6 linked regions of the Oryzias latipes genome follow. Each later gene encodes a partner of the first gene's protein in a complex. Links are inferred from orthologs where the notes say so. Each region holds a gene or a part of one and is shown in the gene's direction. Other genes may lie near its edges. The genes, in order: polr3g, polr3k, crcp, polr3c, polr3d and polr3f.

What was found.
Region 2: polr3g (region 1) and polr3k share a complex: the UniProt entries of both Homo sapiens proteins name them as parts of the RNA polymerase III complex. The link is inferred for Oryzias latipes from reciprocal best matches to the Homo sapiens genes POLR3G and POLR3K.
Region 3: polr3g (region 1) and crcp share a complex: the UniProt entries of both Homo sapiens proteins name them as parts of the RNA polymerase III complex. The link is inferred for Oryzias latipes from reciprocal best matches to the Homo sapiens genes POLR3G and CRCP.
Region 4: polr3g (region 1) and polr3c share a complex: the UniProt entries of both Homo sapiens proteins name them as parts of the RNA polymerase III complex. The link is inferred for Oryzias latipes from reciprocal best matches to the Homo sapiens genes POLR3G and POLR3C.
Region 5: polr3g (region 1) and polr3d share a complex: the UniProt entries of both Homo sapiens proteins name them as parts of the RNA polymerase III complex. The link is inferred for Oryzias latipes from reciprocal best matches to the Homo sapiens genes POLR3G and POLR3D.
Region 6: polr3g (region 1) and polr3f share a complex: the UniProt entries of both Homo sapiens proteins name them as parts of the RNA polymerase III complex. The link is inferred for Oryzias latipes from reciprocal best matches to the Homo sapiens genes POLR3G and POLR3F.

What each region holds. Positions count from the first base shown.
Region 1 is NC_019867.2:16,255,427-16,260,294, reverse strand, and holds polr3g (DNA-directed RNA polymerase III subunit RPC7), read left to right. Parts: upstream 1-1,709; 5' UTR 1,710-1,959; intron 1,960-2,089; 5' UTR 2,090-2,110; coding exon 2,111-2,221; intron 2,222-2,526; coding exon 2,527-2,656; intron 2,657-3,200; coding exon 3,201-3,266; intron 3,267-3,343; coding exon 3,344-3,403; intron 3,404-3,481; coding exon 3,482-3,546; intron 3,547-4,184; coding exon 4,185-4,295; intron 4,296-4,375; coding exon 4,376-4,465; 3' UTR 4,466-4,624; downstream 4,625-4,868. Other genes in the region: mblac2 (metallo-beta-lactamase domain-containing protein 2), read right to left, coding at 983-1,424. UniProt on the Homo sapiens protein: DNA-dependent RNA polymerase catalyzes the transcription of DNA into RNA using the four ribonucleoside triphosphates as substrates.
Region 2 is NC_019866.2:8,138,456-8,142,264, forward strand, and holds polr3k (DNA-directed RNA polymerase III subunit RPC10), read left to right. Parts: upstream 1-1,578; 5' UTR 1,579-1,684; coding exon 1,685-1,795; intron 1,796-1,890; coding exon 1,891-1,978; intron 1,979-2,514; coding exon 2,515-2,642; 3' UTR 2,643-2,754; downstream 2,755-3,809. Other genes in the region: snrnp25 (U11/U12 small nuclear ribonucleoprotein 25 kDa protein), read right to left, coding at 288-378, 998-1,210. UniProt on the Homo sapiens protein: Core component of RNA polymerase III (Pol III) which synthesizes small non-coding RNAs using the four ribonucleoside triphosphates as substrates. Can mediate Pol I proofreading of the nascent RNA transcript.
Region 3 is NC_019872.2:8,448,781-8,453,605, reverse strand, and holds the start of crcp (DNA-directed RNA polymerase III subunit RPC9), read left to right. Parts: upstream 1-1,776; 5' UTR 1,777-1,852; coding exon 1,853-1,860; intron 1,861-2,973; coding exon 2,974-3,010; intron 3,011-3,108; coding exon 3,109-3,207; intron 3,208-3,280; coding exon 3,281-3,375; intron 3,376-3,505; coding exon 3,506-3,563; intron 3,564-4,825. Other genes in the region: protein FAM111A, read left to right, coding at 1-916. UniProt on the Homo sapiens protein: DNA-dependent RNA polymerase catalyzes the transcription of DNA into RNA using the four ribonucleoside triphosphates as substrates.
Region 4 is NC_019874.2:18,839,660-18,844,575, forward strand, and holds the start of polr3c (DNA-directed RNA polymerase III subunit RPC3), read left to right. Parts: upstream 1-1,900; 5' UTR 1,901-2,019; intron 2,020-2,896; coding exon 2,897-3,043; intron 3,044-3,370; coding exon 3,371-3,635; intron 3,636-3,791; coding exon 3,792-4,081; intron 4,082-4,185; coding exon 4,186-4,290; intron 4,291-4,722; coding exon 4,723-4,896; intron 4,897-4,916. Other genes in the region: E3 ubiquitin-protein ligase RNF115, read right to left, coding at 1,730-1,807. UniProt on the Homo sapiens protein: DNA-dependent RNA polymerase catalyzes the transcription of DNA into RNA using the four ribonucleoside triphosphates as substrates.
Region 5 is NC_019867.2:17,411,225-17,416,141, reverse strand, and holds the start of polr3d (DNA-directed RNA polymerase III subunit RPC4), read left to right. Parts: upstream 1-1,745; 5' UTR 1,746-1,865; intron 1,866-3,792; 5' UTR 3,793-3,824; coding exon 3,825-3,989; intron 3,990-4,182; coding exon 4,183-4,226; intron 4,227-4,333; coding exon 4,334-4,488; intron 4,489-4,597; coding exon 4,598-4,722; intron 4,723-4,811; coding exon 4,812-4,917. UniProt on the Homo sapiens protein: DNA-dependent RNA polymerase catalyzes the transcription of DNA into RNA using the four ribonucleoside triphosphates as substrates.
Region 6 is NC_019859.2:414,232-418,966, reverse strand, and holds polr3f (DNA-directed RNA polymerase III subunit RPC6), read left to right. Parts: upstream 1-1,529; 5' UTR 1,530-1,626; coding exon 1,627-1,688; intron 1,689-2,560; coding exon 2,561-2,678; intron 2,679-2,753; coding exon 2,754-2,821; intron 2,822-2,885; coding exon 2,886-2,953; intron 2,954-3,020; coding exon 3,021-3,133; intron 3,134-3,209; coding exon 3,210-3,353; intron 3,354-3,887; coding exon 3,888-3,995; intron 3,996-4,064; coding exon 4,065-4,256; intron 4,257-4,334; coding exon 4,335-4,412; 3' UTR 4,413-4,539; downstream 4,540-4,735. UniProt on the Homo sapiens protein: DNA-dependent RNA polymerase catalyzes the transcription of DNA into RNA using the four ribonucleoside triphosphates as substrates.

The sequences.
Region 1 (4,868 bases):
AACAGTGGCTCTGACACAGCAGAAGGCTGCGTATTGATTTATGAAATCTTGACCACAGTCCAACAGTTGGAGCTGCTCTGCACAAATGCAGATCTGATGTAAGTGCAGAGTGCTGTGTAAATGTATGCTTTAACCCTTGTGGTATCCTAGGCACTTTGACATTGGGAGTGAGGTCATCTAATCTAGACCCCACTAGACAGCGCGCTGAACCTTTTTTCTTTAATGATTTGTGATCTTCACTGGTTTCCATGGATTACATGAAATCCTCTCCATCTTTATCCACGGTAGGGAGAACACGTCAATGGCCATCTTGACCCCATAGGATAGCACAAGGGTTAGACAGGGCTGTTCATTCCTGATCCTCGAGATCTACCACCCTGACGGTTTTCCAGATCTCCAAGTCCTGCTAGCGGATGATTAGCTCAATCAGATGTCTCCACATTCTGATTGAATGAACACACCTGCTCCAGGTAGTCAGCAGCAAGCAGTGCAGGGAGAGATGGAAAACAGGCAGGGCGATAAATCTCGAGTACCAGGAATGAGGAGCCCTGGTTTAGAAAATGCTTATGTCCAGAATATACTTATTCACAGACAGGATGGTGGGTGATAAATATCCCAGTGCTTTGCTGTGTGTGTGAGAAAAACCTACACACTCATTCCTGAAAGTAACAGAATCTGCCAAAGTCATCAGCATGGTGACTTAAAAATAGATCAGCTTTGCAGGAAGAGAGCCAAGACAATGGTGAGGACCACACAGTATCCCAACCTCACCCATGTGCAAATATTTGAAAGTCTGGTTTCTTGTGTCTGGCTTGTCACTGGGCCATCTGTTAATTTCGTTTTGCAGAAATTTGGTTTGAGAATGAGAAGGATTTTGAAACTCTAATACACTGAATGAAGTTTTTAAGTTGTAGGTTTGACCCCAGATTTAGCCCCCACTAGCACCAAGCACCACATGTGTGCTGACAGATGCCCTGCCTACCCTCTTGCAGTATGTGCGTGGGCTGAACAGCCTTGACTTTGTAGTTCCTTGCTCTCCACCCTGGACTGGGGCGCTCGGCTATCTCCCTGTCGCTCAACCAGGTGACCGTCTCGAAGTTGTCTCCGTTGGCCAGCGCATCGACCTCTGCGCTGTGGACGCCCACCTGTTGGAACTGATGCAGACCCCCCGAGTGGTCGAAGTGGGCGTGAGTGGCGATGGCCAGCAGCGGGTTCTTCCTCTGCGGGTCTTTTCCCAGCAGCCCCTTGGAGTCGATGTAGTCAGGTAAGCTCCTCAGCCCCAGGCCGGTGTCTATCACCACGTCCTGATGCGAACCGCGGAGCAACCAGATGTTGGCCCGGTTGTCCGATTGATAAAACCGCTCCTGGATCCAGAATAGTCCGTCTCCGAGCGACTTGTGGGCGTACCAGTCGGCTGCAGACATCCCAGGACATGCAAATGTCGAGGTAAGCTTCGGAAGGGAGACGCGCCGTCGGCTGAATTAGCACAACAGTGTTAGTAGCCTCGTAGCTAGGAGCAGTGTGGTTTCATTGAAGCTGTAATGATGGTGGCCGCACACACCCTTGTTTGAAAGCAGCCAGCCCATTGGTCGAAGTGAGAAATGACGGTAGATGTGAACGCGGCAGCGATTGGACGAAAATAAGAAACGCCCTATTGGGACGTAAGCAGGGGCGGAGAGGGGAAAGCATCTGCTCACGCTGACTAGTCTATTGGTTACACATGCGTTTCCCAGCCGGTTCCACAAAAAAACCATAGAAAGAAGCGATAGGTTTATTTACTTATCTTTTTCGCCTAAATGTAAGCTAAACCGCTAAGCCACAAACTCGGACCGTTTAGCTTTAACAAATAAATCAAATTCAATAAGATTTCATTGGGAAACACGTGTCATTTATAGTTATAAAACTTTATTTTTTTATCTCACGTCTCCATAAAAGGAGAGTTTTACCAGCAGGCCTCCTGTAAGTATTTATGAAAAAATATATATCAGGGAAAAATTGTCATTTCTCATAGCGGACTCAATGGTGCAATACCGGCAAGCACGTGCTTGTCAATGACGGTGCTTGCCTGAGGATGAACCGTGTGTTGCAGGTCGTGGTCAGGGGCGCAGCCATGGCAGGCAAAGGCCGCGGGGTGGCTGCGTTTACCTTCAACATTGATGCTCTGGGCATTGGCAGAGGCAACATGCCAGAAGCCAGGGTGGGGCCCAGTCCACTGTTTCCAGTAAGTAAATGCCACACAAACACGGAAAGATGGAAGGTTTAATTAGCAAAAATTCAAGTTTTATTTAAGTAAAATAAATTGGCATGTGTCATCAACGTAGGGCTTTTAGTGTACTCTCCCTGTGTAGTCTCAGTACTTTGTAAAATGTGCTCAGAAAGCAAACTATGATGTAATCTATTTTGTGTCAAACACTTGGTTTATGGACACTTTCTGAGAATGACTGCCTGCTTGGATTACACCAATTTTCAGATAAACAAGAAACGTGTCACTGTAATAAATATCTTGCATCATTTGCCCTTATTTAGACTACTGAATTTAAACCGGTTCCACTCAAAGGAGGTGAAGAGGAAGACTACATGCTGGCGTTAAAACAGGAATTAAGAGGAGCAATGCAGAGGCTACCACACAACATTAAAGCTTGCTCCAGCAAAACGGGTAGGGGGGAGAGTGCTGACATATGAGAGATTTCTACGTCAAGATAATTCTGGGCTGCTGGAAGTGGAGATAACTGCTGCTTTTGGGAAATCAGACATTTTATGAGTGTTATACATAAGAGAAATGAGATTCTATAGTTACTGCTTATGCCTCATTATGAAGTTTTCAATTGTTGTTGTTTTTTTAGGGGTCCATCATTACAGATATTTTAAACATCTTTAATTTTCTTTGGTCTATGACATAAACCCAAGAAAAAACTTAAAGGAGTACATTTAATTTAAGTCACCTGTTAAAAAAAAGACAATTTCTAATCCAGGTTCCAGACTTTTGATCATTAGAAAATACTTTTTAAGATTCATTTATGAACAAATAATTTGGTACAATGCATAAATGTCTAAACAATAAATTTATTTTTGCTGTAGCAATGAATTGATTCCAGAGATTAACTTTCATTTGTTTTTTATCTTTTATGTTTAGTAAAAAAATTCTCACTGATCTGATACTTTTTTCAAATGTACTCTGTTGTTCTGTTTACATGAAACAGAGGTGGAGAAATACACTGAAAGATACTTGAAACAAGCCCAGATTAACAGTGAGGAATGGACTCCAGGTAATTGCTTTAGATGGAAATTTTTTTTTCAAAAGGTGTCATGTAAAGTAATGCAAACATCGTGTCACACATTTCAGACTGGAACCTTTTTCCCAAAGAACTGATGCCCCAAAGTAAAAAACGTAGAATTAAGAAAGGTAAATTAAAGTCACATTGCATGCAGGAAATGTTGAATGCGTGTTTTTTATTTATTTAAAAAGTGTTTTTTGCTTCAGGCACCAAGACTAAAACTGTGAAGAAGTTGAAGGAAGATAAAGCCAATGTGCTCAGTAAACTGGATGTAAGCCTATCTTCCTTCTTTAGCTTTTTTAGACTATTTAAATGTTTTTTTTTCTTAATTGAACTTTGTACAAGGATGTCTTTAGGCGCTGTCATTCGGTGCTGAAGTTAGTAGGCACATGCCTTTAAAATAAAAAAATCTAGTTTGGAAACTGCCATAAGGACAGAATAGTTTAAAGCCATGTGAAAAAAGATTATGGTTGTACGAAGTTTTAGCAAGATTTTGCAGAAGTCTACATCTGTGTAAAATATAAGGCACAATTTTACCTGTTTTTTTAATACCAACATTAGACTGAAAAACGCTTATTGTACTGGTGCTTCTGATTTTGAATTGGTAAAAAAAGTAAAAATCGCATGTCCCTTTCTGAAACTGATCAAATTACATCAAGTTTAAAAACAGTTTGACTCTTGAATGATCTTGACAGACCCATCTTTAGTGTCTGATGGGCTTAAATCTATTTAAAAAGGAAACTGTTCAGACTTGAACATTTCTTCCTTAACTGATCGGCTTTAAACACATTGGCCCAAACCATACTGCCAAGCAGAACAAAGAGAACTGCTGTGAAAATGTAGACTTTTTTTTAAATGGGAAGAAAGCCTACCATTTAGTTTGAATCCCACCCCAAAAAATCTGCTCAGGAATTGGCCAAGAAAGATGAAAATCCTGAGAAGTCAGATGAGGAAACTGAGAAGAAAGCAGAGGACGATGAAGAAATCGAAGAGGAAGAACTCGAAGAAGACATAGAAGAGGTTTGGTCCCAGGAATAGTGGAAAATCTGCATTGGTCTTATTTGATGCAACTAATGTTTTATCTGCTTGTTGCTCCTCAGGAAAATGACTACATTGAAAGCTATTTTGACAACGGTGAAGATTTTGCTGCTGAAAGTGACGATAACATGGATGGGGAAGCAACCTACTGAAGCCCATTTTGCATGGCTTTGACAGTTGCATATGAAATGTCTGTTTAGCTAAAGCTCGTAAGCCAAGTAACTTCATGTTTACGCCATGTAATTATTTAATGGATATGTATATATAAGCATAAATATGCAGACTTCAAAAAATAAATTATTCAAAATAGATATTTATTAAGCCTGCAGTATATTTCCAACTTGAAAGGCACACAGTCAACAAAACTGTCACAGGATAGCAACTGTACAATACATAACATTTAGGTAATTTATCTGGGAACATTGCATATTAAGATATTGATGCACATATGCAGTTTTACCACAGTTTCATGTCCAGCCAGATTCAGGACACTTGGATAAAACAAGGTTTCATTGAAAATTCAATACTGGTAGTATCACTGAAGCTCAGTCTTGA
Region 2 (3,809 bases), on another chromosome or scaffold:
AGAAACTGCAGAGAGGGCGAACGGGTTAAGAACTGTCCAACACATTATGAAAAACTGGAGGGATAATGCGGGACACAAGAGCTGTGCACCCTTAAAAAAAAACCCACTGACCATTAAGGCCAACCAGAAAAAAAACGTTTGTCAGGGAACATTTAGATTGGACTCCAGAGCGATAGAAGAAGGTTATGAGGTCTGATGAGTCAGGCAGTGAACACAGACATAGTCATACAAACACAATATAGACACATACTAATTATACAAATCAGCTGGGAGACTTTGGAACTTACGCATGATTTCCCCATCTGCCTTAACAACCTTCACAGTCATTGCTTGCCCATACTCCAATGCAATCTGGGAGTTTACTTCTTCCAAAGTCACCTGAACACAAAAATATTGCAGATTGTGGATTCTCATCCTTCTAACACAGTAGAGGGTAAAAAAAAAAAAAATCAGTCAAATGGACTTGGTTAATCCTTTATAACTGCAGACATTTCATGTTTTCTCAAAGACAAATTTGCAAATACGAAAGATAAACCAGTTGTAAATAACAGATTTCTTTCTGGGCTTAATAATAAATGAGATTAAAAAAAAACAAATGTGATTATTGTATAATAGTCCAATGTTACAAGAGCAATACTGACAATACTAATGTTATGGATTATAACCTGTGTTTTTGTTATTTTTATTATGCATGTTTGGTACTTAATTCTAGATTAGAACATTTATTTCATTGCTATTCGTATATAATTCTTAAATCGTATAAACAGTTTCAAGAAGAAAAAGGAGAGAAAACATAAATTAGAGCTATAAGATTGTTTTGAAATTGGATTCGATTTGGCTTTTCAAGAATATATATGCAGCTATTTTCTGCTATGCAAATATGCCGTCAGACAAACCGGAAGAAGGACGCGTTTCAACTTTAGTGTTAAATTTACAATTTATGAAAATTTTCTTTAAACATCTGCCTGGTGTGCGGAGTGTGGTGTTTTTCTATGACCTGGATCGGCAGATCACACAGTAAAGGGTCCTGCACAAGTCGAGCAAGTCCCTCTTCGAAGATATCAAGGATCTCTGAATGTGGAAGAGACTCCTCATCTTCCTCCTCGGCATCTGGAGCTGTCTCATCAGCCAGCTTCTCCTCTTTCACCTCACTGTGACTGTGACTGTCCTGCAAACGATTCTCTCCTTCGTCGGTTTCCTGCTCCATCATCTATTATTGGTTAAAAATAAATACATTCAGTAAAAATGAAACCGCTTTCTCTTTTTTGACGCGTTCAATTAAGTACAAAAGATTCTTAAAATAATAATAATAGGATACTGTTTACAAAAATGTATCCCAAGACTGGTGTGAATTTTAATGCTGTGTGTCGCAGACCTTATACCGGTGGTATCATCAAAACATGATAAATAGTTCCGCTTATCAAAAGTAAGAACTTTTTTTCATGCGGCGGATGGTGGGGTTTTAAAATAATTATATTATTTATAATGTTATACATATATTTATACATTTATATACATTCTTTAACAATAACAATTTCATTTTTAACAAACGTTTTTTTTTTTTTTGTTTCCTACCGAGCTGTAAAACCGGAGCAACTGCTTCCGCTTTGCTTCTCCTTGCTAATGAATTTCGTAGTCGCTACTATCTTTCCCGAGATAGTTTTTCTTTAAATAATCTGGTAATATGCTTCTTTTTTGTCCTACTTGTGGAAACGTTTTAATCGTAGAAGAAGGACAGAAATGCTTGAGATTCGCTTGTAACACTTGTCCCTATGTGCACAACGTCACGAGAAAGGTACGCTCCTTTTATCACTGTCTGACTCTGACTCGAGAAACAAACACGACATTTCTTAGGGTGGTTTTTAATCTCAAACTTTTCAATATTTGTAGGTAAACTACCGAAAATATCCCAAGCTGAAAGAGGTGGATGATGTGCTGGGTGGAGCTGCAGCGTGGGAGAACGTGGATTCTACTGCAGGTAACAAACAAGTTTGTTACCAAGAATTAAAAAAAAACATGGATAGACTAGAGAATAATATAAAACAAAGGCCAAGAAAAACTAATTTGACTACTAAGACAAATATGTTCTCCATAGGAATAAATTAAAGTTTATTTGAAACAGTCCATTTGCGTGTTTAAAGGGTGTTAATAGTCACCCTTAGCTGCAAGTACACTTGAAGTTTATTTTATTAAGTGTACTTGGATGCAAGTATTGCACATATACTGCTGACCATGTAACGTGTAGGGAGTACATTAACTTAACACTTATTCTGACTAAATTGTGACATTTTATGTTTACTATATATAGACTGAACTTCAAGTACACTGCCTCACTCTAAGTATACTTGTAGTACACTTAAATGGACTACTTTTTGCTAGAGGCAGTGTTGCTGTGTGATGCTATGGCGAGTACCAACCTGAATGTGGGCCACAGAAAGAAGTTCAATCCGAGAACTAACTAAAATTCTGAACATGTGTGTACATATATGCATGTTTGCTTGTGTTTTTTCACAGAAACGTGTCCCAAATGCGAGCATCCTCGAGCCTACTTCATGCAGATCCAGACCAGATCAGCCGATGAACCAATGACGACTTTCTACAAATGCTGTAATGCTCAGTGTGGAAACAGATGGAGAGATTGAGCATTTTATTTCATTCACTCATTATTTCTAGTTTAAATGGCAATCAAAGCACATGTAAAGAATGTTTTGGACCCATTATTATTTATAAATAAAATTTGCTTTTCAGAATCAATCAACGGACAAATTCTTTATTTCAGAGCTTTTATTGATAAAATAATACCTGTGTACATCAGTCAATTCAATTGTCTTAGATGTTTGTATCTTGTTGCAGACATTGAGAGCAATGCATACCACTGGTTCCCACACGTTTATTTTCTATGCAATCCTTGAGCTCAAAATGCAATTTCTAGAGCAACTCAATCATCCTTAAGGTAAGGAAGAGAAAAAAAAATACAAATCTAGGAGCCAGCCAAAGAGAATCACTTATTTGGATGTGTAGCTCATGCAGACAAATTCTGCACCTCCAAAGCGTTGGTGAAAAATGAAATCGGACATGCTGTGACGGAACAGTGCTTTTACACTGTTAGTGGTTTATCCAATAAAAACTGTATTTTTGATATTTTTTTAGCTTAATCTGAAAAGACTGCTCAGTCAAGGCTATCGCTTCATCTAACATGCATTTATTTATGTCATAGATGACAAATGTCAAGATTAGGTGATCAATGCAATGATGGCTGCATCCCTTTCCAGCTTAAATACGGTTTACTACTTTCAAATCAGTGAGGAATCTCTACAATCTCAGTATCACAGAGATGGCATGTAGTGTTTCCACATAACCATGTCCTCGGCACACAAAGACTACTAAAATCTCTGATCAAATATGTTTTGATTAACTCCAGTTATATATTACCTCTATGCTTGAAATTATTCCACTTCTTTCAGGGAATTGATTAAAACAGGACAACCCTTTCTTCAGGAATAAAAAGGCTAAAAACATAACAAAGTGCAAATGTTGACATTACAATGAAAGCAGATCACAGACACGAGGAACTGGTGAGTAACAGTAAAACAATAAGTCAGCTCCTGATTGGAGCAAAGAAAAATCAAGTTTCTAGCAGATGTGTCAGTTTAAATTGACAGTTTTCCCACATTTGACAACTACAAATGTCAAAAACAAAATTACGCACAAATATTCATAATCCGGAAGAACACGTCTGAGCTTGAACGGATTAAACGAAAAATTAGACAACTTCACATATGAGGACAGCTTTCCTCTACACCAGGCTG
Region 3 (4,825 bases), on another chromosome or scaffold:
ACTCCATCAGGAGTTTAGTCGGAATGCTCTGATGTGCCAGGAGGTGAAAACAATGAAAAAACTGATGCGTCTTAGCGATTCAGTCTGTCAAGTGAGAATAAATGGGGGGGCGGTAGGAAGTGGCTTTCTTTGGTTTAGAAGCTTTGTTTTAACAAACGGCCATGTCATAAAAGACATTTACAACTCAAACTGTGGCCAGCTTCAGGAAAAGGTTTCTGTTCATTTCTCATATGAAAGTCTGGACCAAGCCGATGTGGGGTTGGAAGTGAAAGATGTGGTTTGTTTTGAATACAAGCCTGAAATACGGGACTGGGCTTTGTTGAGGCTAGACTCCGATCAGACACTGCCTCCTGGTCTTTTAGAGCACTTTGGTTTCCTTCCACATGGTGGTGGAATCAGCATTATCGGGCATCCTCAGGGAGGTGTGAAAAAGATCGACCCCTGTTTGATTGTTCCACACAGCCAGGTTGTTGATAGGGTTCCCCTGATAACCAAGTATTTCTTTGCTGATAAACTTTTGAAATACGAATCTAGTTTTTTCGAAGGCTCCTCTGGCTCTCCTGTTTTTGACAACCACTGCAATGTGGTTGCAATGCATTCAGGAGGATTCACCTACGACAAAGAAGGGATGGAAAGACGGGCTGTTGTTGAATATGCCCAACCTCTGCATTTCATTTTGGAAGATTTTATTATCCAAATGGTGGAGGGAAAAAAGTTTGACGTTTTGAGAGAATATCTTGATTGCAGCTACACTCGAGGCACCGCCGTCAAAGACGGTGTCAAAAAAATAGTTGAGAGCAGAAATAACCAACGGTTCAAAGAAGCTGCAAGGAGCTGTGTGGATGACAAAGTTGTACAAACATTCCTTGAGTTTTTCTGCCAAACTGAGGAACCTGTCCCAATGGAGGTTGTTTAGGTCTCATCATCTCATTTTATAGTTATCCTGGGCTTGACTGCAGTAAAACAAAGAAATTCCAGCAGTGAAAAGCAAAAATTAAACGAAAGCTTTAAACTCAGCTTTAATAAAAGTTAAAGCTTTAATTTCTGCACTTATTGTTTACTTTATTGTTGCTCCAAGCAATTCACATGCACCTGTTTAATATAATTATGTGATTTTTCTGTCCCAGAAACATTTTTAACCATCACTCTCCAGTTCAGAGAAAAAATAATGCTGGAAAAAATCTGTTCACTCTTGTATATTTTACTTGTATGGATGTCCAATTCTTACATTTCAGTCTTGACTCATTCCTGTATCAAGTTCTTGAAAAGAAATGCCAACAAAAGGTTTCCTTTTTTTGGTTGTTTTATTATGTTTTGGGATTTATTTGTTTTTTCAAATATAGATTACTCATTACTCAGTGCAGTAGCATAAAATTCATTGTACTTTTTCTGTTTTTGTTTTTAAAAAGCAAAAAGTGTTCAATACTGTGTGCTTCAAATCATGACTAATGAAACTGTATTAAAATCTGATAAAAGTGACTTCTAGTGTATTCCTTTTTTGTTCCCTTACCCTAACAGTAAATGTTAAATGTTTAATATGTTTAAAATAACCCTCGATGTGTTCAGGGTGTACTTCACCTTCTCCCTGATGCTGCTGCATGAGGCTCTGGAAGTCCTTGTTAATTTCATTGAACTGTTTGGTGAAGGGGCTTTCGAATTTACACTTTTTGAGATACTCTTACATTGTTTTTCATTTTCAAACATCTCGGCAGTGTTTCACTTTTTTAAATATTTATTCTGTTTTCTCTGATCCCACGTTCTATGTAAAAATGCGTTTTTTGCTAGGCGGAACCAATATACTCCCCTATTTTCTACACGAACCCCTTTATTGTAACGGAACCTAAGAGTCGACATGGAAGTGTAAGATTTTTTTTTTAAGAACAAAACAACGGCTAATAAGTCTTTTATGTATATTTACATGTACAATTTTAATTGTGATCGATGGTAGTTTCGTGCGTGTTTCAGTTTCGGGTTTATTATGTGATGTTTTGCTTGTTCCGTTGGGATGATGCTGTCGGCCAAAAAATGGAGAGATGATGATCGACACACAAAACAACTGAATTAAAACATATTGAGTCCGGGAGACTTTGATCCATTTTGAAGAGTTTGCAGTCTACAAATGTTTTAAATTGTATTATGTTTGGGGACGAAGTTAGAGACGGGACAAAAGGTCGCGAAATCGTTTATAAACGTAAATTTCAGAAGATGGGAGAAACAAAAAGCACGGGTCGGATTAGTTTGAGTTTGTGTTATCAAATATTTGTTTCAAATCATGAAACATTCCATTTACAAACACATTCTGCGTTGGCTCTTCAATAATAAATGAATTAGTTATGACATGATGAAGCAGCTAAAAAACATTTTGTCATCTAATATAAGCCAACTCAGCCGCACTCCACAACATTTGTCAACTTGTCACTTGAGCTCTGATCTAATTCATATTTGCCTGAAATCACAAACTTAATTTTTCTAAATAACATTGAAGCAAAGAAATATGGGAAACAGGTTTGAATTTAAACAGTATTCTGTCTTGTTTTTCATTAGATTTATTTATATTTATCAAAAGTTTGCTTTTTTTAATTGTATTTCTTTTCTTCTTCAAACTTGAAAAACAAAAACATTTGCTAATATCTATTTCAGTAAGTTTCAACGGCTTTAAAATAATCTAATTGATGGGTTTCTAGTTTTTAAAAAGGGAAAACACAAAAAAAAATTATTGCTGTTCATTAAAGAGAAGATCTGAGGTTCCGATTAAGAAAATTTCGTTATATAAATAAAAATCAAGTAGAGAAATCCAGCCGTTCTTTTAGTAACACAAGGATGTGAAGATCAAATCACAGAAGAAAAATGTTTACTAAATATATAAACTACATGGGAAATATTCCAATCTTATAAAGCTTGTTTTGGTAACAGATATTTTAATTATCTCATAATTTAATGTTTAACAATTGTTATTTGGGTTTTTTTACACAGAAAAAATGCAAACGCGGCCATGCTCAGTAACTATGAGGTGAGACTATAAGACTGTCTATTAAGGGTTTTTGTTGATTTTCCTGCCTGGTAATGAAATTAATTATTCAGAAAAGCTAAATAATGTCTTCGTCTCAGGTATTCAAACTTCTCACCGACCTGAAAGAACAGAGGAAAGATGCTGGAAAAAGCAAACATAGCCTCGGGCAACAGGACCTCAACACCATCATGTATGAAGTGGGTACTATTCATACTGTCTGAGCTTTAGTTGTCAAATCCAGTCCATGTTCTCACCTGCATTTGCTTTCAGACTCTAAAGTATTTGTCAAAGACGCCATGCAGCAGACAGAGTCCTGAAATTGTCAGAGAGTTCCTCACCACCATGATGCCTCAGAAGCTGACCAAGTCAGTATCTAAAAGATAATATTTTTCACCCCTCTGGGGCTTCAATTGTAATTTCCGCTTAATAAATGATGTATAGTTTGGGGATAAAAATGTCTCAAAGTTAAAATTTTGCCATCTTTCTCTCTTTAAGGGCAGAAAAACTGCAGCTGTTAAACCAACGGCCTCAGAGTGCAGTGGAAATTCAGCTTGTAAGTATTTTTCATGTCTTTCTAAATGTTTTATCTTTTTTTCCTAAATAATTTACTCATGTATTCCTATGGTAGCTCTGTATAACAAATGAGATCTTTCTCATATTTGTATTTTTGTTAACTCAACCCAAAAAGGCTCAAATCTAACCCAAAACATGCACTTTTTCACATGCATCCATCAGCAACTTCATTTGTTACATGTAGATTGCCCTACAGGTTCTACCACTCTGGTTTTTTCATGCTATTCCTGTCTGCAGGGTTAGTTTGAATGGGCAATTCACAGTAAATCCAGGCTTGAGCCCATTCCTGTAACGCATTAATAATCTATTGAAGCAGCTATTACAAGACAATGTTAACAATACCTTATACAGCAAACCAAAAAGACCCTCATGACCCGTTTAAGCAAAGCCTTATTATTGCTTTAGCTAAGCGTTGAGGTTATGGCTGTGATGGGTTTAGAAATATTTAATCCTTAAAATGGGTACATTGCACTATTTGACTAAAAATCAAGTAGAGAAATCCAGCCGTTCTTTTAGCAAACTGAGTAACACCAGGATGTGGAGTGCAGACTTCTGATGCTGCTTCACTGGGGTGTGGTGTGTCCCGAAAAAATCTTTTTTAGCAACCAATAATTACTCACCTAAAGCCAAGTGTAGAAGGCTCCCTCTATTAAGAAATAATCTGGTTTCATAATGCAACAGCAATTATATATTGTCCTAAATCAGTTATTCTAGAGCAGATTATCTCTTAGAGTACATTTTAAAAAGTGAATTTCCAAAACTATATGGAGCCTCTTAAAGAACTGCACTCCCTGTTTACCATTTGTCTCTCTGCAATCTGTATCCTTTTAAAATAAAAATATTTTTTTCAATACAAAGCAGCTATAAAGCAGTTGTTGCAGTGAACACAAATGAGGCCATTTCCATTAGCATCCACTAACATGCAGTTCTAAAACTCAGCCTGCAGATGTCGCCCTTCTCACTTTTGAGATGCTTTTAACCCTTGTGCTATCTTAGATGACCCCACCCTTACATTGACGTGTTCTCCCTACCATGACAAAGGTGGATAAAGGTGGAAAGATTTCATGTAATCCATGGACACCAGTGAAGATCATAAATCATTGAAGAAAAAAGGTTCAGCGCACTGTCTAGTGGGTCTAGATGACCCAACTCCCAATGTTAAAGTGCCTAGGATAGCACAAGGTAAAGCAGTCCATCTCCCAGTTATCTCAAGGTAGTTAACTGTGTCATTATGTGATGGTG
Region 4 (4,916 bases), on another chromosome or scaffold:
TTAGGGGGAGGGCGTTCAAAACCAGCATGACAGCTTGGAGCAAACACAACCAGCAAGCAGCCTTTGCAGCAGGATGGATCATATGTTGTCCTCTCATTTAAAGATAGAGCTTTTCACTCAGGGGAACAGGATTGAGGTCACTTAGCATAAAAACAAAGTTGTAAGCCATTACGGCAACACCTGAAGTACAATACTTGTAGCATTAAAAAGTGGGTCACAACAATAATGTCTTTTTAGATTGTAGTTCACTCGATTTGGAGTGCTAAATATACAAATGAAATTCACAAATGTTCTTAAGGTTGAATTGAAAAAAAAAGTGACTATGAATTACAGAAATTATTTTGGTCAAAGCCTTTGAATTCAGATTTACTCACAAAACTCACACAATTACTTGTAATAAATAAATGTTATGTATTGTTTTGTTGATTTTTATAATTTACTTTATATTTCAGGTTTAAAAAATGTTTGATATTATCTTTGCAGTTGCTTGATCCAACACAGAAAAAGAAAATCACAAAGAGACAAGTGAGTAAATCCAGAATTAGTGACCAATTATCTGAAATTTAAAAATAATGGGGAGGCAATAGTCACAGCTCTGTTTCCAGTTTACTGGTCGATTAAACAAATAGACGTTTGGATGTTTATTTTTACTTTATGGCACAGTAAATCACAGAACCCTCCATCTCTGTATCAGTCTAACAGATTGCTTCTAAGAAGCTAACAGGTTGCACTTTTTAATTTAAACTTTCAGTCAAAATCTAGACACAACATAAAGCAGTGTTTCCTAAAATTCGGGTTATATAACAAAATTCATTTACTCAATACATCAGCCAGTTATAAGCTAAATTTATAAAACATGTAAGAGAACACATTCATGTTAGAAATTCAGATATTTCTGGTATTTATTTTAACCTGTCCAAATTTTTTCTTGTCCAAAATGAAATACTATAATCATTATCATCAACAAAATAACTTATATTTCAATGATTGAAAAATGTGTGTCAATTTTTATTTATTTACCAAGGAACATTTGTTTCAAAAACACAAAACGGAGTCAACAAGAGAAAAAAAACTACAAATAAAAAAACAAACACTTACAGTTAGTTAAATGTTTTTGTAAAAACGTAGGAATGTCCTTTTAAATAAATGGCCTTTTAAAGAATATTTGTAAAATAGTAATAGTAGGCCATTTAAACGCCTCTTCTGCCGACATTGTTACGTTTGACTTTAACACTAAAACTGAAAGTAAACCACAACGTATGACATCTACAGAAAACTTCCCCTGCTTATACTGCCACTGCTGTTAACAGAAACAAAAACTAAATGTGTATATATACTGAAAAGGAAAATCTGAGTGACAGTTTATGAATAAATAAACTCTCAGATTAATTCGGGCTGTTTTGTTCAAAAACATGCATCTATCATTTACCACCAAGCACACAACTTCTACCTTGAAGCACAGAGATTAGCGTAAGTATTTTAAAACAGGCACGAATAACAAGACCTACTATCGTTAGTTTTAAGAGTAGCTTAGTTTCCCCTAAAACGACTAACCGGAGTTTCTTTACTGACTTAACAACAACAAACACTGCTATATGCTAATAGCCTATGGGCTTAGCTGTAGCAAGAAGTAGCCGAAACAAACAGCTACCTGCCGGAAGGCAGACTTGTCAGCCGCGCATAACACTCAACATAAAATGAGCGAATAACCAAAAATAACGCGACTTACCGGGAGTTTGGGATTTACTTCTCCCTTACAACAGTGACAGAAAAACCGATGCGAGGGAACAGCCGCAGCCTCCGCCATCTTCCCGGAGCAGCACAAACACTGACGTCGGTCCTCCACTAGCTGAAGGGAGCTGTCCGCCCCCAGCCCGGCATGCACTGCGGCACTGTTGTCGAATCACAGCAAGCAAAAAACCGGGAGCGGAAGTGTCTGTTTGTTGTCATCGACTAGCCTCATGCGCTAAACTATCTGCACGGAGTCTGCTTTCATTGCGAGATCTGAAATCGAAAAAGGTTTGTGAAAAAAAAAAAATGCCAGGCTTATACCATCAAATATTCAGAGATAATTTAGTAAATTCCCAGCATGCAATTGTAATTTTACTATCCAAAAGCCCAAGGGGGAAAGAACTTGAACAACTGTTGACTTTTCAAATTAGAAGAGATAGTTTACATGCACTGTATGCTATAAGGGAAACTACTTAATGACCGATCTAACTTTTTATTTTTAGATTTTACCTGTTGGAATAAGTGGTGCCTGTTTTAACAAAGTAAAATACTATTATTGTTGTTTGTAGTTCGTAAACTAGATGTATAGAGATAACATAACTAAAAAAAGTGCTGTTTATTGAAAAACTAAACTGAACTAAAATAAAATTGATTTATTGTTTATATTGGTTCATGTTGAACGATCAAATCCGATCCGATTCACTGATCTAAAATCGATCCAGAACATCTTTAGCCAAGAATTCAACCAGTGGGACTCAGAAAATAAATACCTGGATTCTGAACAGTGCAGGGGAAGTTTTCCACATTCCCTGTATTTTTTTGCAACATAATTAAGTGTAAATTAAACATGTTTACAAACAAACAAGTAAAAAAGAATGAATGGACAGTTTTACCTACATTTTGCTGCCATTCGATGTGTTGTCTGTTTTAACGTTATAGTTAGAAAAAAAGCCTACTGTGCCTTAATCCAAATGGTATTTTCCAATATTGATAATAATTGATTTATTTCCTTTTAAAATTAATTCATATTGGTATAGTTTGATTCGATTAACATCTTGCCTCAGATGGATGAATCGATTCATCTTTACAGCCTACTAAAAGCACATGCATTAGTTCTTATTATTAACTTAGTGGTTTTCATTGAACTGTTGGTGTGTTTGTGCAGATGACAGCCCAGGAGGTCCGTCTGTGTGGTCTTCTGCTGCAGGAGCACTTTGGAGAAGTGGTGGAGAAAGTGGGAAGAAATCTGCTCAAAAGTGGAACGCAAAATTTAAGAGCCATTGTTCATGAAACTGGCTTGTCAGTGGATCTGGTAGGTCAACGCAAGACTGAGATTGCATTCGCTGTAGTCAGATGTTCTTTGAAAAATAATCAAAATTATTCATTATTTGAATTATTATTCAAAGCAAACGGTCACATATATTACTATGTCCCTTGCAATATGGCAAAAGTTAGTTCTTTAAAGATATTTGAACAATAAGAGAAACAAAATTATAATGTAATTATTCAGGTAATATATATTCATATTTGAAAACAGTTTTACCTGAAACTGATTGCTTATCAGTTTTTTGTCAATACAATACAGTGATGTCTGGTAATGTTCATGTACTTTAACAGGACTTCTTCTTCTTTCATCAAGGTAAAGAAGTCTCTGTGCGTTCTTGTGCAACATGGAGCCTGTTCGTTTATTCAAGGTCGAAAAGGACCGGGGAGCCCGACGGAATACAAAGCCCACTGCGATCGGGTACTGAGAATTCTGCGCTACCCACGTTACATATACACAGCCAAAACGCTGTACGGCGACACCGGTGAGCTTATCATAGAGGAGCTGCTGCAGAGGGGCCACATGACGATGAGCAACACAGTTAAGACAGTCGCAGACCGTCTAACTCAGAGTATGGACGGTGAGCATCAGAATCAAACAAAAGACTGTCCATAAAAGAGATGATCTGTTTTCTGAAGGTTTTTTTTTCAGTTAAGCTTTGGATTGAGGCCTAAAATATCGCGATCAGTAGATTCATTTTCTAATGAATACTTCCTTTGATGTTTTGTTGATACAGAGGGGTCGAGCATGGATTATGGTGAAGTGTCCGCCACCTTTTCCAAACTGGTAGAGACTCATTTTCTCCAGCGCTGTCCCCCAGCAGCAGGAGCAGGAACGACAGGGAGCAGTCAGACTGCCAATTCGACTTCTGCAGCTCCTGCCAGCAGCACTGCACCCACACCGGAAAGCTTCCCCGACTGCTACAGGGTTCCTCAAGTGACACTCATAGGCCGGAGCAAACGCTCGCTCGCCAGCGAGGAAGGAGAGGACCAAAGAAATGCGAAAAAAGCGAAAATGGACCCAGAGGTCAGAGAGACGTTTGTTAAAGCAAGATGTTCACTGCATATGCTAAGACTTCTATGGTTGTGACTTCTGTTTGTCTTCTCATAACTTGGATCTTTGGTGCTCAGACTCATGGGGATGAGGGGATTTACTGGCAGGTGAACTTTGAACGGTTCCACCAGCATTTCCGGGATCAGACTATCATCAGTGCTGTCGCCAACAAACTAGATCAGGTGGGAATTCCACAAAACATTTCAAACTAACCATTTTTTTTATTCATTAAAAGAAAAACAGGTTTTGAAAAATAATTGCCTAGAAAAAAAAACCCAAATACATTTCCTCAGTGTATAATTATTTGATGGTTAAAAGTAAAAATGAATAGTATTTGAAAACCCTCTTTGTATGGCTGAAGGAATTTAGCATAAGCATTTGGTTGTTTGATAAGACTATCTGACTTTGAAGTATTGACCTTAAAATCAAAGAAAATTCAAATTTTAAATGAAATAAAGTGATAGTTTTTGGAAGTACTCCTAATAATTCCTCTTTTTTCTTGGATTGTTCTCTGTGCTTTAAATACTACAGCTTTTTACATTTATTTCATTATTAATTATTTATTATTATTATTTATTATTAACTAGCTGTCTTCTCACATCTTTCCTACCCAGACCAGCAGTGAAATAGTGAGAACCATGCTGAGGATGAGTGAGGTGACAACCTCTTCCACTGCCCCGTGCACAAAACCCCTTTCAGCCAATGAGATCTTCAGGTCCCTCCCAGCTACTTACAACATCCCCCGCCATATATTGGACCAGTACCTCACTCTGCTGGTGGATGACCCTGTAGGTCCTCCTCATCTCAA
Region 5 (4,917 bases), about 1.2 Mb from region 1:
TATGGACTAATCGGCTACTGAAAGAATTGATATAAACATGGGAAAGGGTCCAAAGTGAGAGTGTATTCTTTTCAACGACCTATATTACTTGTATTTCAGAAATGGCCATGGTGTGTTGCCATAATTCCACAGACAGTGTGCGGTACTGAAGAGTCTAATTTACTTTCAGTCAGCAGCAGAGAACTGATGCCCTCAGAATGTAATTAAACTGCAATCATCCATCATCAGTCATGGCAATTCCGACTGTTCATGAAATCCTTTCTGCTCTGGAGATGAGTACACACTTTTGTCTTTGAAGAGACCCATTGAAAAGGATACATTGACTCCTTCTGCTTGGCAAATTTTTCATTTTGTGTATATAGAACATAAAAAAACATACATTTTTCTTGCCAAGTTATTCTTAAAAGAAAAAAAATCGTCATTAAACTTGGAGTTTCAAACATCATCTAAACTCTATATCTTGAATTCCCCTTTAATATTTTCTCACACTAAACCATACTCTAATGACATGCAGCTCATAAAAAGGTAACCTAAACTTTCCCTGTTTGATCAAATTGATTTATTTAACTGCATCTATTTATATTTTTCACATATTAAAAACAAATATTTTCTTTGCACTCTGAAGGCCTATTGGATGTTTCCTTTAACAGATTATTTGTATTATTACTATATCACACAGTAGGAACATTCATTACTTATATCACAAACTCTATTTTAATTCCTTAAAAATGTAAAGATGTGAGTTTCCATTTAGAGTTTATATTAGATTTAATCTGTTTAACTGCATGGAAATATTTAATCTTACTGTTTTATTTAACTGCATGCAGTTGTTTGCATAAGGTAGCAAATGGATAGTTCAGTTGGCTCTGTGTAGGACTGGATCATGGGAAACCAGGATCCGCTTCCCAGGGGCCACAATGAACTTGATGCAGTGTGGGCCCTTAGGCAAGACCCTTTGTTGTACTGCGTAACTATGCAGCCACAAGGGGGCCCAAGTCTAGGTTCCCCTGTGCCGGTCCCCAGCTAGGATAAAATACAGGGTTGTGTCAGGAAGATCATCTGGCGCAAAAATCTCTGCAAAGCTACCTGTGAGAATCAGGGAAAGCTGATTCGCTGTCGAGACCCCAGAAGGAATATGCTGAAAGGCGAGAAATATAAAAGCGTGAATGTTGCATAAGACTATTTTGCTGTAAGACAGAAAATAACCAAGGAAACAAGTGCCCAAACAAATGAAATATTTATTATTATTATTATTATTATTATTATTATTATTATTATTATTATTATTATTATTATTATTATTATTATTATTATTATTATTGTTAGTAGTAGTAGTAATATAATCAGTTCCCTTAGCATGTCAGAGGAAAATAACATCTTTAGAAAAAAAAAATTTCCAATCTCGAAATATGCCATATCTTTTGGTTCTTCACATCTGAGACATTTATTTCAAAACATTCAATAACATTAATCCATGCAAAAGATTTTTATGAATCTGACAAAACTTGCAGGAAAACTAATGCACGATATGTCAGAACTCAAAATATAATTTTCATTTAGCTGTTTTAGGAAACATTTGGAAAGACTAGTATAATCGTTTATCTAATCTTATCTTTTTTATGACAGTGAATTTTTTTGGACTGTGGATTCTGAAATAAAACATAAAAATAAAACAAAATAATGTTTCTAAGCATGCGCGTTTTTCTGCGCATGTTTGATCCTCGAGAGCAAGTTGAAGCCAAAGCGGAAGTGTCATGGCGCCGCTAGTGAATGCAGCGGTGGACGAGGCAACAGGATTTTGTTTCTGATATCTGGCAGGTTTTAGGGGGGAAAACTCCGAATAAGGACCACCGAGGACGTGTCGTGTAAGTTTTTGGAGAACTGCAATATGTTAAGACTTCCTCTGGACAGCTTTCGCGTTGTTTGTGATCTATCTTACTAGCCACGTGTTTCTGTAACATTTTTCTTCATTCATCGTATGTAAATACTGGTTGTGTATTTAAATCACTGACAAATATCATTGTAAACACAATTTATTCTCAATGCTTAGACTCGAAAGTTTAAGAAATCATTCCTAATTAATGTCTTGAATTGCTTACGTTCAGAACCACAACAGAGTAAAAAAGATAAAAAGAAAAAGGTTACAGAACGGACTGAAAGTATATTTTTGTTTATCCCGGTATTATTACAAATTACATTAATGTAAACCTCAATAACATTAATTTTAGGTATGGGGTCTAATGATTAATTAATAAAGTGACACATCAAAACAGATTTTGTGGCTGAAACAAGTTGATAATGGATTCAAATCGAACTGTACCATTATAAAATCCTTTCAAAATTATATTAAATTGATAATCGATCTTGGAAAGTACCATTCAGATACATGCTTGGTTTTTTAACTATAGCGTAAAAACGACGTGATGGTGATGTTAGCAAAGAAATGTCAAAGCATCATTCCATTGCAATGTGTGGAAAAACAATTAATTTAGAAAAGACATGTGACCATAATCACAATAGTGTTCAGAAAAACAGCAGAAATCATTGATCGATTTTCTGGTCTTGTTACAAACTAACCAACCTCCAGCTGGCACAGAAACATGCCCTCTTGACTGTGAAGGAATTGAGCGTCCCCGCACAACAAATCAAACATACCCTGTAAGACGCGCATGCTCAATGTGTTTGTTTAGGGAAATAACAGAATTCTTTTTTTTAATTGGACAATTGCAACATACAGAACAAGAGAATGCAACAATTATGCACATATAATGTACAGTAGAATAAACGTGTTACAACATTAAGAAAATTTTAATTATTAGAAGCAATCACAAAAGGCAATAACAAATAAAAATAAATAAATAAAATAAAACTAAACAAAGAAAAAAATAAAATAAAGTTAAAAAAAAATAATAATAAAAAGAGAAAATACGAGAGTAAACTTATATCAGTAGTCCAAAAAATTTACAAATTTCAATTGTTTTTTGAGCTTTTGTATTTTTTGAAGATGAAATTAAGTTTAAATATTGCTGCAGTTCAAGTGACAGAATTTGTGGACATGAAGGGAGGGACACGCAAATCCCCTTTTGTAGCGATGATAAGACACTAAAAATCTTTTCTTTATCTTTTTGCTAATTTTAGTGTCACGTGCTGTTGAGCATTGCTAATTTTCTTGCAAAGATGTATTACAAAAACAAGTGCGTTGATCTTATTTTGCGAGATAACAGCTGGTTCTTTTAAATTTTGGCATAGGGGCCAAAAAAACAAAACAAAAGAACTTCTAGCCTGTAGCTTTACTTTGAAATCCAATGATTGGCGACACACGAGGATGAGGGGCCATAAATAAACGTCACAGCTGAGATCACCTGGTCAGAACACAGTACTTTCTCAGGAAGTTGAGGCAGGCCCTCTTCTTTCAGGAACTGCTGGTCAGGTTTTATAAGGCCAACAATGAGGGTTCAGTTCTAGTGCCGCGCTGTCTGAAGGCACAACAGAGGACAGGAAGACCGTGCAGGAAGTAGTAAGAACAGAGGGGAGGGGGATAGGAAGTGCACTACCAGACTGATTGGGAAAGAGTTGTATTTGGAAAGATGCCACACACCCTGGACATTACGTAACTGTTTTAAAGGCACACGCCAACAGAATCCAGAGTAGTGTTTCACCTGGCAGTAAAATGTGTGCAACCTCCTCATAAAGACATTTGAAAACAATTTTTATGTAATATTTGTGTATTTTCCTTTTAAACATCACCATTGTCTGAGAGAGATGATGATGAGTATTATTGTTGGCCACCAGGTTGGGAGTTTGACATCCCTTTAAAGTTCAGGATGGCGGACTCCGGGGAGTCCAGCAGTCAACGCGTTCCCACTCCTGCAGGCGCCAGCAGCAGCAATGTAGGACTCCAGATGGGGCGTCGACCACCAGCTGGACTCTCTCCTGGACGCCTCCCTTCCATGCGGTCAAGGGACCTCACCCTGGGAGGAGTGAAGAAGGTTAGCATCATACCTCACTCGCCATTTAATCTTTGGGTTAGGAATTGTGTTAGATGAGTTAATCACACCAGATATATTAAGAAACCCTTCTGTAGCTTCTTTTGCCCTACTTGCAATCATGATTTTTTTTTTCTAGATTTCAAAAATAAACAGCTTTTCTTATTACTCATTTATCTTTTTTTTAATTTTATAGAAAACCTTCACACCCAACATCATTGGCCGAAAGGTTAAAGAGGAGTAAGTTGATTTTATTTCTAGGATTGAAAAATGCAGTGAAGAACAAATAAAATTCGTGTAAACTGAAGCTTTAACTGTTTTAAAAAAAAAATTTTTGGTTGCAACAGAGCCAAAGTTGAGACTGATCAAAGGAGAGATCGGAGAGGTGGAGAACGTGGTCGAGGGCCGAGAGACAGAGGCAGGGGCCGAGGTCGCCAAGAGATCATCCAGTCCCATTCTATCTTTGAGCAGGGGCCGGCCGAGATGATGATGAAAAGGAGAGGTGGGGGGCCAGCAGGACTAGCATATGCAGTTTGCTGCTGCAGCTGAACTGCCATTTTTAAAGTTTCAAATGATTTATCCCCCCCCCCCCCCCCCCCCCCCCCTCATAGGTGGATATGAAAGCGAAAGAGATGCTCCAAGCATGGGGCCTTCACCCATCATTAACATTAAAAAGGAGAAGAGGGAGACTGAAGAGGAGACGAAGGAAATTCTGCGCAAGCTGGAGCGGGACAATGTACGTCCATCCTTCTCTTAGTTACAACCATCACAGACTTTCACCAAAAGGCATTTCTCTCTTTTTTTTTCTCGTTCCCCTTCTTGCAGTTTATTGATGACCCCTTCCTAAAGAGTGAGCAGAGGAGTTGCCCTGTCCAGCTCCCCCTTTCTGTGTCAGGATGGGGATTTAGGGAGGAGTTTAGTAAATCTACTG
Region 6 (4,735 bases), on another chromosome or scaffold:
TTATGGAAAACTTTAGAAAAATGTAAGTTAATGTAAACATCTGGTCACAGCGAGACATTTCTATTCAGAGTGTTTCTCACTAAATTAGAATGTTGATCCAGATTCATTTATCCAGCATAGGAAAGCAATAAACCCGAACAATTTCAACTTCATCTGGAAAAACAAAATTAATTCCATAAAAAAAGAACAATAATTCAGGATTACAGTGAAGGTGGACTTAAAGCCTCAGACTTTGAAAGTTTGGATGGTATGATTCAAATAAATTGGCTTAAGTCTTTTCTGCAAAATGGGAGAAATATTTGGTTTCATATTCCCTCAAACATCTTTTCTCATCTAGGGGGTATTGAGTTGCTTCTAAAATGTGATTTTGATTACAGAAAACTTCCTATTAAACTTTCTACTCATCATCAGCAGCTGTTACTGTATGGAAACTCCTCTACAAACATAACTGTAGTTCACACAATACTCCATATGGAACTGTTGGGATATTTTATGTAGGAACAAATCAATATTTTACAAACATTGGATTGATGACAGTATTTGGTCATTAATACATATTATGAATGACAATGGAAACATTATCTCATTTGAAACTTTTTCCAGTAAATTTAAATTAAATGATAGAAAATAATATAATAATGTGATCAAAGCCTCAGACTTTGGTCCAAATGTCCTCCAGTCTGGTTCATGATGATCAAGTTCAGCTTCCCTCTCTGTTGTTTGATGGTCGACCGGTTAATTCAAAACTTCCAAACTCATTTATACGATCTTTATTTGTTAGAGCCGTCCTGTTTCCAACATTAGACATAAATCATTCTATGTCACAGCTTTACACAAGAGAGGAAATAAGCAAGTTGAGGTCTCAGTTCATTAAATATCCAATTTTCCCAAAATACAAAGAAATCCATTTTAAAATAATGAATGCAGTCTATCCATGCAAAGAACTGTTACACATACGTTTAGGTTTTCCAGAGAATAACTGTTCTTTTTGTGATATAAATATTGAAACACTTGATCATTTGTTTTTTGAATGTATGTATGTTTACAGTTTTTGGGAGGATTTCTTTTTTTGGTGCTCTTCAAAGTTTCCCTTTCCTATTTCTATTCACTTACAAAAGCACATTATATTATTTGGAGTAGTTTCTGGTGATAATCTATTTGATTTGACATTCAATACCTTATTAATATCTGGGAAATTTTTCATTCACAAGTGCAGATTTGTAAAAACGAAACCATTATTTAATACATTTCTTAAAGAAATCAGTTTATATTTTAAATCTCTGACATTGATGAAAAACAAAAATGCAATAAAACTGTGTGTTTTCATTGAAGATCACATGCTGTATGACAATCCCTAGTGTTGTAAACTATAATTCTATATATTTTGTTTTATTTATTTACTTATTTTCTTTTTCTCTCTTTTTTGTATGTTGTTATTATGTGTATGTTTAAAGTTCAAATAAACAAAATTAAAAAAAAACAAAAAAAAACGTGAACGGACATCACGTGCTCTGATGACGTCACACAGGACCGAGCCTCTCCCGCCGCTGGGGGGCGGTAACGCTCCGGTCTCCGTGGTTCCCCCAGAAGAAGAAGCGGCGTCACCGGCAGCAGCGGACCGGGGAGATGGCGGAGGTTCGGGTAAAGAAAGAGACGAACCTGGCGGAACCTGCAGAGGTGGAGACCAGGTTCGGACCTCACGATTCTGCCGCGTGCCGGTCCATGACCGAAGCGCGTGCATTTCATCTACGAGCAGCTCCTTGGCTTGTTTCATGCGCGCGTGTCTTAAGTTCAGAAACGGTTCTGGTTCCGGAGGCTACTCTAAACCGAACCTCAGCAGGCTTCTAAGACCGAAACCACTTTGTCTGGTTCCAGAGGTTCGAATCGGGAGACCGACTCAGCTCACGCTCAGGTGGTTTTAGAACCGAGTCCAGTTCTGAAGGTTTTAGATCTGAGTAAACCTCCGAAGACTTCAGAACCGAGTGCAGGTCTGAAGACATTAGACTCGAGTCACTCGGGTCTAATGTCTTCATAACTGGACTCGGACTCGAGTCCCGTGAGTTCAGGTCTAAAGACTAAAGGAACCGAGTCCATCCAGGTCTGAAGACTTCAGAACTGAGTCCCGGTATGAAGGTTTTAGATCCGAGTCCAGGTCTGAAGACTTTAGAACCGAGTTCAGTTCTGCAGACTTTAGAACCGAGTCCCGGTATGAAGGTTTTAGATCCGAGTCCTGGTTTGAAGGTCCAGGTCCGAGGACTATCGCTGCAGCTGTTGGATGTTCTGGATGTTGTTCAGAGAACACGCGGATGGGTCAGACGGATTCTAGAGTTCAGGCGGTCTTTGGACCATTTCTGAAGATCCAACGTGACGTTCTGAACGGACCAGAAACACTAGAACCTCCGTCTTGGAGAGGTCCATCTGAAGATGTTCCTTTTTGTTCCAACTGGAGATGAGACCCAAGCTGACACAGGGTTTATTATGGGATGTCTGATCTTTGGAGCGACTGGACCTTGTGGTTCTGATCCAGGAACTTCAGCTCTGAACGCCTGTGTGTCTCCAGGATCAGAGAGCTGTGTCAGCAGTTCCCTCAGGGAATCACAGACCAGGTGATCCAGAACGACATGCCTCACCTGGAGCCGCAGCAGAGGGCCCTGGCCATCAACAAGCTGCTGTCCCTGGTTAGTCCGGTTCTGAACAACCCAATCCATTCTTCAGCGCAGAGGGGTTCTAACGTAACCTGGTGTTTGTTCCAGGGCCAGCTGGACTTGCTCAGGAACAGTTCTGGTCTTCTGTACAGATTAAAAGATTCTCAGACAGCCAGGTGAGCAGCGTTCCATCTGCAGGTTCTGGTTCTGTCCACCGTGAACCCCAATCCTCTGTTTCAGTAAGATGAAGGGCTCGGACAACCAGGAGAAGCTGGTTTACCAGATCATCGAGGATGCCGGAAACAAAGGTGAGCTCTGTCTGCCTCCTTCCAGAAGGTACCGCGGGTCAGAACCTCCCAGATGTTCTGTTCGCAGGAATCTGGAGCAGAGACATCCGCTTCAAGAGCAACCTCCCTCTGACCGAGATCAACAAGATCCTGAAGAACCTGGAGAGCAAGAAGCTCATCAAAGCCGTCAAATCTGTGGCCGTGAGTTCAGAACCGAGCCGGTCCAGACGTGCTTGTGGCCGCCGGCAGTCCTGAACTCTGCTCGTCTGCCACGCAGGCGTCCAAGAAGAAGGTCTACATGCTGTACAACGTGCAGCCGGACCGCTCCGTCACCGGAGGGGCCTGGTACAGCGACCAGGACTTTGAGTCCGAGTTCGTGGAGGTTCTGAACCAGCAGTGCTTCAAGTTCCTGCAGAGCAAGGTATGGAGAACCCAAATGTACGGAACACCAAACCAATGGGTCACAAAGGTCAGAGGTCAGCTGTAGAGCTACGTTTACACCGGGAAACGCGTTCAAGGGACCGCTTTGAGTCCAAAGTCTACGGGAACGCGTCTACGCTTCCGCCTCCAAACTCTACAAAAAGCGCCGCCATTGAACGTGAAACCAGTTGAACTTTGACCAATCAGGGACTCTGAGTTGGTTGCGACGTATGATGGCGTCAAAGCAGAAGTACCAACGACTGAAACTTGATCAGAAAGGACAAAGTAATAACTGCGGTTTGTGTCGACGCCAAGTCTATGATGGATCAGAATCGAGCTGTGAACAAAAGACTCACCAGATTTGGACGTTTCCCACCGAGTCGTCCAACCGCAGGAGACGGCGCCGGGTAGCCACAGTCCAGAATGAACGCCGTAGGCGAGCAAAGGTTCTGTGGTCTTCAACGCGCATCACGTGTGTGAACGTAGCACCAGGCTGAGGGGCCCACCCCTCACCCCCACTCACCCCTGTGTGCAGGCGGAGGCGGCGCGGGGCGGCCAGCAGAGCCCCATGGTTCAGAGGAACAGCTCCTTCGCCACGTCTCACGAAGTCTGGAAGTACATCAGCGAGTTGGGCATCAGCAAGGTGGCCCCGCCGTGACCTCACAGCCCCTCCCAACAGCTGCAGCTGTTCTCACAGGTGTCCCGTGTGCAGGTGGACCTGTCCATGGACGACATCGAGACCATCCTGAACACGCTGATCTACGACGGGAAGGTGGAGATGACCGTGATCGCCGCCAAGGAGGGGACGGTGGGCAGCGTGGACGGACAGATGAAGCTGTACCGCGGCGTGAACGCCGTGCTGCCGCCGGCGGGCCTGGTGAAGACGCCCTGCGGCCTGTGCCCGGTAAGCCGCGCTCCGACGCCCCCTGCTGCCGCTCCGGCTGCGGCACTCACCCCCCCCCCCCCCCCAATCTCTCTGCAGGTGTTTGACGACTGTCACGAAGGGGGGGAGATCTCGCCATCCACCTGCATCTACATGACAGAGTGGCTGGAGTTCTGACTCCGCCCATGGAACCCCGCCCCTTTCCTCCATGGAGCCACGCCCCTTTCCTCCATGGAACCCCGCCCCTTTCCTTTGGTTACGTCTGATTTAAGTTAATAAAGTTTTACTGTTGTGTGAAAAGCGACTCATGAATTCTGACTGAAGTGATTTTGAAGAAAGATCTTTTTTCAGATTTCCCATCAAGAGCGGCCAAAGGCCCCGCCCACAAGCTGTGTAACGTCATCCATGCTCGTTATAAACAGGAAATGGAAAAGATCCTTAAAACCAAGGGTCCCCAAACGATGGCCCGCCCCCCCATTAGACCCGGCCCCCTGAACGAT